2 linked regions of the Tribolium castaneum genome follow. The protein of the gene in region 2 purifies or fractionates together with the protein of the main gene of each other region. This does not show direct contact. Links are inferred from orthologs where the notes say so. Each region holds a gene or a part of one and is shown on either strand. Other genes may lie near its edges. The genes, in order: Trmt112 and probable 18S rRNA (guanine-N(7))-methyltransferase.

What was found.
Region 1: the proteins of probable 18S rRNA (guanine-N(7))-methyltransferase (region 2) and Trmt112 purify together in Homo sapiens (affinity purification with mass spectrometry; 5 studies listed by BioGRID and IntAct, counting the BioPlex papers as one, with this or other methods). This does not show direct contact. The link is inferred for Tribolium castaneum from reciprocal best matches to the Homo sapiens genes BUD23 and TRMT112.

What each region holds. Positions count from the first base shown.
Region 1 is NC_087394.1:6,130,749-6,133,442, forward strand, and holds Trmt112 (multifunctional methyltransferase subunit TRM112-like protein), read right to left. Parts: upstream 1,498-2,694; 5' UTR 1,329-1,497; coding exon 1,251-1,328; intron 1,142-1,250; coding exon 845-1,141; 3' UTR 824-844; downstream 1-823. Other genes in the region: uncharacterized protein LOC656340, read left to right, coding at 1-174; uncharacterized protein LOC655985, read left to right, coding at 1,787-1,994, 2,041-2,210. UniProt on the Homo sapiens protein: Acts as an activator of both rRNA/tRNA and protein methyltransferases. Together with methyltransferase BUD23, methylates the N(7) position of a guanine in 18S rRNA.
Region 2 is NC_087401.1:7,779,446-7,783,828, reverse strand, and holds the start of probable 18S rRNA (guanine-N(7))-methyltransferase, read right to left. Parts: upstream 2,992-4,383; 5' UTR 2,849-2,991; coding exon 2,813-2,848; intron 2,767-2,812; coding exon 2,729-2,766; intron 2,677-2,728; coding exon 2,304-2,676; intron 2,254-2,303; coding exon 2,043-2,253; intron 1-2,042. Other genes in the region: Cdc45 (cell division control protein 45 homolog), read left to right, coding at 3,206-3,256, 3,302-3,661, 3,710-3,886, 3,941-4,296.

The sequences.
Region 1 (2,694 bases), on a different chromosome or scaffold from region 2:
GGCCCCCAAGCCCTAAGTAGAGGCCCTAACCGCTCCCTGCTCTCGCAAAGAACCTACCAAGCTTGTGGTTCAAACCCAGAACTGCGCAAAGGCCCCAAACAAGGCCTTGCCAAAGGCAGCATTTTCTCCCAATTGAAAAATGTCGCAGTTGGGGGCGAGTCTCGGGGAAAGTAGCAGTTCATGTGTACTATTATTTAAGTCGTTGTAAATAAGTGTGCATGCAGTGTTTAAAAAAAAACGGCAAAGCTTGAGGATATTGGCATCGAATTATTCAGATTGATCTGCAATTTCACAACCAAAGATTTTGTTACTTGTACAGTGTTCACAAAAGAACGTGCATCAAGAGTGTTGTATGAATACGGAGGACTATAAGTTAGGAGACGATTTTTTTAACCCAAAAAAATATGGGACAGACAACCATTTTAACTACGCTCTCTGGCGACGTTAACGGAACTATCGAGGACGGGAACGTTTTATTTGTACGTCATTTCTAGATATCCATAGTTTCCCGAAATCACAGCACTCTTGCACGTTTTTTTTAATAAACACTCGGAGCAATGTAGTGATCCAGAAACGCATCCTATTTTTTGGAAGGCTGTGGCTTGTAACTTATGCCGCCCACTTGAAATACCTGTGCCCCCACATATCCAGCTATATCACGATTTCAAGTCCCCTAATGTACCCCAAATATTTTTGTACTGTAAAAATTGACAAGACATATTTACACGCTGTTAGATAAAGTGTGCAATTTTCGTATTTTCTTGGTAGCTGTACAATGTCAAACGCTTTCAATTGTACTGTGTCTCAAAATAAAATGCCTTCATGGTTACTATCACTGTTTTATTTACACCTCGTCCTCATTCAGCAACAAATTCGGGATCCCGTTATTTATGGGAAACTTCCGTCCGGTTTCGGGACAGATCAGCTCGCCGTTGATTATATCGATCTCCAGCAAGGCGTGATGGGCTTTTTTCAGGAACTCGTGGTCGTTTTCGTAATTTTCGACCACGTCCTTCGGGAGCCCCTCCAGTTGGCCTATGCTTTGGGCTGCATTGTAGAGCACGTTCCAGTCCACTTTTGGGATGATTTTGGCCACGAAGTCCGGGTTGAAGTCCACTTCGGACACTCGCACGTCCGAAGCCTGAAATTTTGGGAAAAAAATTGACATAACCTCAAACAACACAAGTCGGATTTAGCCGATTTTAGGGGCGTTTTTCGCCTGAATTGTATTAAAAACGTAAAGTACTCACGTTAATACCAAGCGGGTACCCCACAGTCACGACTTTCATGCATTTGGAGGTTAGCATGTTGTGGGTTAACAATTTCATTTTCCGATTTTTGTGTATTTACGTGTATTTTTCACACCAGTGGACAATTAATTGTTTAAATCGGCCAGTTTTTCGCGTGAGACACTTTTTGCGCTCTTGGATGCTTACCCCATCACTGATTGATTTACAATGAGCTTTTGGTTCAAATTTCGCGCCTCGCTTCGAACGGAACTTGGTGACTCTTTAACAACTATTTAACCGTACAAACAATTGAATCAAGATTTTTGAACCGCCGTAGTTATTTTTTTGAAATTTGTGATTAATTTTTGGTAAGTTTTATCAATGGGGGCCGTTTTTTGCCCAGTTGGGTGAGAAATAGTTGTGGTTTTGTGGTACTTGGTTGAGGTATTTCCGGTGCATCCCAACGCTAAATCCCCAACTCGTCGCCATATTGCAGTTAGTTATATTTCGGCTTTTTAGTAACTTAGAAAAATAACCGTTTGCTGTTGGCGCGTGAAATGGAAAGCGAAGAGAGTGAGCAAATTCAAGAAGTTGAAGAAGAGTCTCAAGATTCGCAAGAATTGGCCGAAATTCCGGTGCATTTAGACGACTCGTCGGTTTCTTACGCCACATTGAGTCTATCAAACAGCAGTTCGAATATCGTTAGAGGAAAATATTACAAACAGACGTATCGCCCAGCATGGGAGCAAATGCCCGATTTTAAAGGTGAGAATTGGGGGTTTTTGTCGAGGACTTGACGAATTTTTCGAAGGTTGGCTTAGAGGAGTCGTTGGGGAACCCACGCGGGCCTATTGCACCTACTGTCAGAAAACGCTCCATGCCCATCGGTTGAGTCTCCTCAAACACACGTGTACTATCAGACACCAAAAAGCGGCACAAATTCATAATAATAGGAAGGTAGGAAAGCGTTCCGTACACAGGGTGAGTCATCAACATCATCATCAAGTCGCTTGTCTTGAGTTTTGGCAATAAACAGTTGGCTTTGTTTATTTGACAATTATTACCACTTGATTCACATTACTTTAAAAAAATTGTTCAAAAAAGCAGGCCCTGGTAGGTTGTAGTCAGGGTTGTGACGTAGATATTGAAACGTCGTTCTACAGTATAACGACGCGTAGTTTTTGCACATTTTCTACGTCATCAATCCAAATAAATTACCGAAAAATTACACTATTTTTTACGTCAAAATTTGGTAGCATTTATTTGTTCTCAAGAAGAGAAAAATGAATCAAAAATGTTCTATTACTAAATACATATCATTATTAATTAAGTAAGTTCTTTTACCATCAGAAATTGTAGTCAGTAAACAGTAAAACAAGACAATTTTCTATTATTTTCTTTATTTGGCAAAACAGATTAGTAATAAACAAAAAATAAAATCTATTCTCAAAAAAAAAATAAATAA
Region 2 (4,383 bases):
TTTACTAAATTATTTTGCAGCAGCGTAATCCACACAAATCACATATTTCAAATGATTAATGATTTAATTTATGTTTAGTAGTGTAAAAAAATTATCACTGAATTAATCGGAATTGTTCAAAGTAGGGGGAAGTGGGTTCGAGCCCCGGTGACGGCACACGGTTCAACAATTTTTTTTTCTGTTAACTAATTCAGAAAACTTAAAAAATGACAAAACCGAATGCGTGCGTTTCTAAAATCTAAACCATTCTAAAAATAAAATTTGTTTATTTTTTCAATATAAAGAAGCGTTCTAGTCAATTTTTAAATTTATTTGTTATTTTTATTTTTATTTTAATTTAACAAGTAGCAGTAGTTAGGATATGTGATCCCTAAATTTAAAAAAAACAACTCAAATTTTGACTTTTTTACCTGTTTCTTCAATAATTTCCAAACTAAAAATGTAAAGGTCAAACTTAAATTAGATTTATTTTATTTGTTTCAAGTCTGAACTCTGTTGATAAAACAAGCGACTGGAAATTTTGTTTTACCTGATGAAAAATAAAAATGTTTGGAAAAGAAATTGTGTTGCTTTTGATCACCTATGAATTACTTTTCTGTTAGTATTTTGTTTTTTAATTCCAACACAAGATTTTTTTAACTTAATGACAACTTTCCAAATTTGAATAAAATCTTTGAAAGGGGTACCAATCTTAGAAACGCAATGAATTCCTGTTTCTTATCTTTGGTCAATTTCTAATGTATGTTTAATCGTAACAAGACTAGGTTTTTTTGCAAAAATTGGTTGAAAAATCATCGAATTGGAGCGAAACTGACGTTATTTTAGCTTGTTTCACTGAACTTGATTCTCTGTTAAACCAGAGATTCGTTTATTTTGCAAAATTTTGCCAAAAAAACGAAGAGAAAGTGAAATTGACGTTATTTCATTGCTGCAAATTTATTTAAATTTTTAAATTTGTTATTTTTATTTCATAAAATTTTATTTTAACAAGTAGCAGTAGTTAGGGTATTTGATCCCTAAATTTAAAAAAAACAACTCAAATTTTGACTTTTTTACCTGTTTTTTCAATTTTTTTGGAATTGTTAATTAATTAGACAAGTTGTAATTCCAGACTGATTTTTTTAATTAGCGTGTTTCTTGACGAAACTTAATTCTTATAGGTGTAGGAGGCATAAAAAAGCCAATATAAATAAGAAAATCAAAAAAATCCCAGGTTCGAATCCCGCTGAGAACTTTTTTTTTCAATAACTGTGTCTACAACAAATCCAAGTGCTTTACTATCGGTGTTTTATATCAATTTCAATCAAAATTATTATTATAACAACTCAAACTTTTACTTTTTTTACCTGTTTAAAAAATTTTTTTTTTGGAATTGTTAATTAATTGGACAAGTTCGTATTCCAGTCTGTTTTTTTAATTAGGTTGTTTCTTGATAAAATTTAATTCTCATGAGTGTTGGAGGCAAAAAGAAACTAATAAAATACAAAAACAAAAATCACAGGTTCAAACCCTGTGCTGAGAACTTTTTTTAATAACTGTGACTATTAGCTGTTTCAAAACAATAAAAACGCCAACGTCGCATTTTTTCTCAAAATTAGCTGTTATAAATTAATAATGCACTTCAAAAAAATAATAGCTTATGTAATTTACACTTTCAATCACACACCAAACCATTAATAACTATTTTACAATTTTATCAATCTTATTTGAAAAAATTATTTGGTAAAATGCGACGTTGGCCTTTTTATAGTTTTGAAACAGCTTATACAACTAATTTCAAGTGCTTTATTATCGCTAACAACTCAGACATTTACTTTTTTACGTGTTTTTTTTTTTGGAATTGTTAGTCAATTGGACAAGTTGAAATTCCAATCTGATTTTTTATTAGTTTGTTTATTTATAAAAAAATCTCACGAGTGTTGGAGGCAAAAAGAAGCCAATATAAATCAGAAACTCTAAAAATCGCAGGTTCGAATCCTGCTGAAAACCTTTTTTTTTCCATAACCATTCCACTTTTAACCAAAATTAATTCTGTAACCCACCTTGTGATTCCTCCTCTGTCCCCAATCCCTTCGGCAACGGCATATTTCCCCCTGTCATCAAGACCAAAAAAAACTTTTTCGCTTTAGTTGAATTCGGAAAATCAACAACAACCCCGCCATAAAACCCCGCTTTCATTGCTTGTGCCGTAACCAACTCCATTTGTTCGCTATTTTCGGGATAAAACTGAAAAACGGCCCGTGCTGACCGGCTCTAGAACCCCAACATGACAAAAAACCTCTCACAATTAACCAAACACAAACCAGACACGCATAAAGACTGCTAAAAAACTTGTAAATCCTTTGAACGGGATTGTGCGACTTTTTATCAGCATTGCACAACCACTGCAACGCGCTTATGCTAATCGCGCCATCGAACGACCCGGCCCGAAAGGGGCACCCTTGCCCCATGTCTGACAACAAAACGTCCCCCTCGACCTCCCTTTCAAGGGCCACATCTAACATGGCCTTGGATATGTCCATACCGACCCAGAAGTGCCCCTGATCCTCAAGGACGCTCCCGCTAAGCCCCGACCCGCAACCTATATCAAGCAAATAACACGGCTGGTCTTCAGGCAACAAAAGGAGCTCAACTGCACGCTCACTCATCTGCATTTGAATATCAATAATTCGAGAACTAAAACGAGTCACAATGAGTAAAAATTGCAAAAAAGCGGCCGTTTCTATACTTTTGAGTGTACTTCCGGGCCTCATCTTCGTTGTAAAACTAAAAGTTAGGTTAGGTTTAGGGTCAGAATTGGGGGCGTACTTACGATTTCGGGTGGCGCCAAGTGCTCAGGACGCGACATTGGTGTTTATTTAGGACCAAAACAATAACAACACATGTGCTATCTTAGGATTAAAAAGTAATCAGAATTGAGGTTAGTTAGGGTGAAAATGACCACTAGGGAATTTGTCTGTTTTAATTTCACGAACTCCGACCCGAACGTTTGTGTAGTAATTACAATCTGCCATCTATTGTGTTACTCATGGTATTTTGGGTGATAGTAATTGAATAGCGTTCAATTCCATTCGTCTAAATAAATTAGAAACGCAAAAATAGTTTTATGTTGGTACGGCTGCCCCTCCACCTTGCCCACCAACGGTTTGTTTTGGCGCTTTGGAGGTTATGATGCCCCATTGTCGGATTTCAAATTGTGTTTAAAATGTACGTTGAGAATTTAAAATTGGATTTTTACGAATTTCTCACAGGCAAAGTAAGTCCCCCTTTTAATTGTCGCCCACTTAGCTGCCCCTTTTAGCGCATTTTGTTAATGGTCCACTACGACATCGACAGCATTTGTGCGTGTAAAATCCTCCAAAACCTCCTAAAGTACAAGGAGATTCTCTACACCCTTGCCGTAATCCGAGGCGTCGAGGACCTGAAGCGCTCGTATCGTGAAAACAGCAACGACGTTAAATATTTCGTCTTGATTAATTGTGGGGGCACTGTGAACCTAGTCGACTTGTTCGAGCCGGAAGAAGACGCGATTTTTTTCATCATCGACTCGCACAGGCCCACACATTTGGATAACATTTACAGTGACGGGCAGGTCCGGTTGTTGTGGACCTCAGAGGAGGACTTAGAAGTGCCCGACTTTCACGCAGTTTATCGTGACGATGTCAGTGGCCCCCTTCTTACGGTCGATTTTTTTATCGTGTGATTACAGAGCGATGAAGAAAGCGACGAAGAACCCGAAAGTGGGGACGAAGATGAGGGAAGAGCTGCCAAAAAACGGAGATTGAACGAAGAAGCGATTCTAAAACGACGCGAACGCAGGCTTTGGGAAGCGAAACGTTTCGATATCATTGCGGAATACTCGCAATACACGTACTACAACAAGGCTGTAAGTTTTTAGTCGATTTTGAAATTAAGTTGGTGACACTGATTTTTTCTCCAGAGCGCGATCGCGATGTTTAAACTCGCGTGGTTTTTGAATAAGGACGATAAGGACTTGCTTTGGTTGGCAATCGTGGCGCTGACAGAACAGTACATTTTAGGCAAAATTGAAAATTCGCAATATGTTCTTGCAGTTGGGGAATTACAGTCGCATTCAAACCGATTAAGGAACAGATCGAATGATACCGACGGTTTAACTTCACTTAGAATCACATATGAGAACGATTTGAAATTAGTTCTGTACAGACATTGGTCGGTTGAGTCTAGTCTTAAGTATTCAATGTTTACGGCGTGCAAATTGAAGTTGTGGTCGCATAGAGGGAGCAAGAAATTGTACGAGTTGCTGGCCGATATGGGGTAAGTAGCCGTTGATTTTTATTTATTTTTTAAACACCCTGTATATTGTGGCTTATGAGTCTTTGGATGAATCAATTGTGAAGCTAT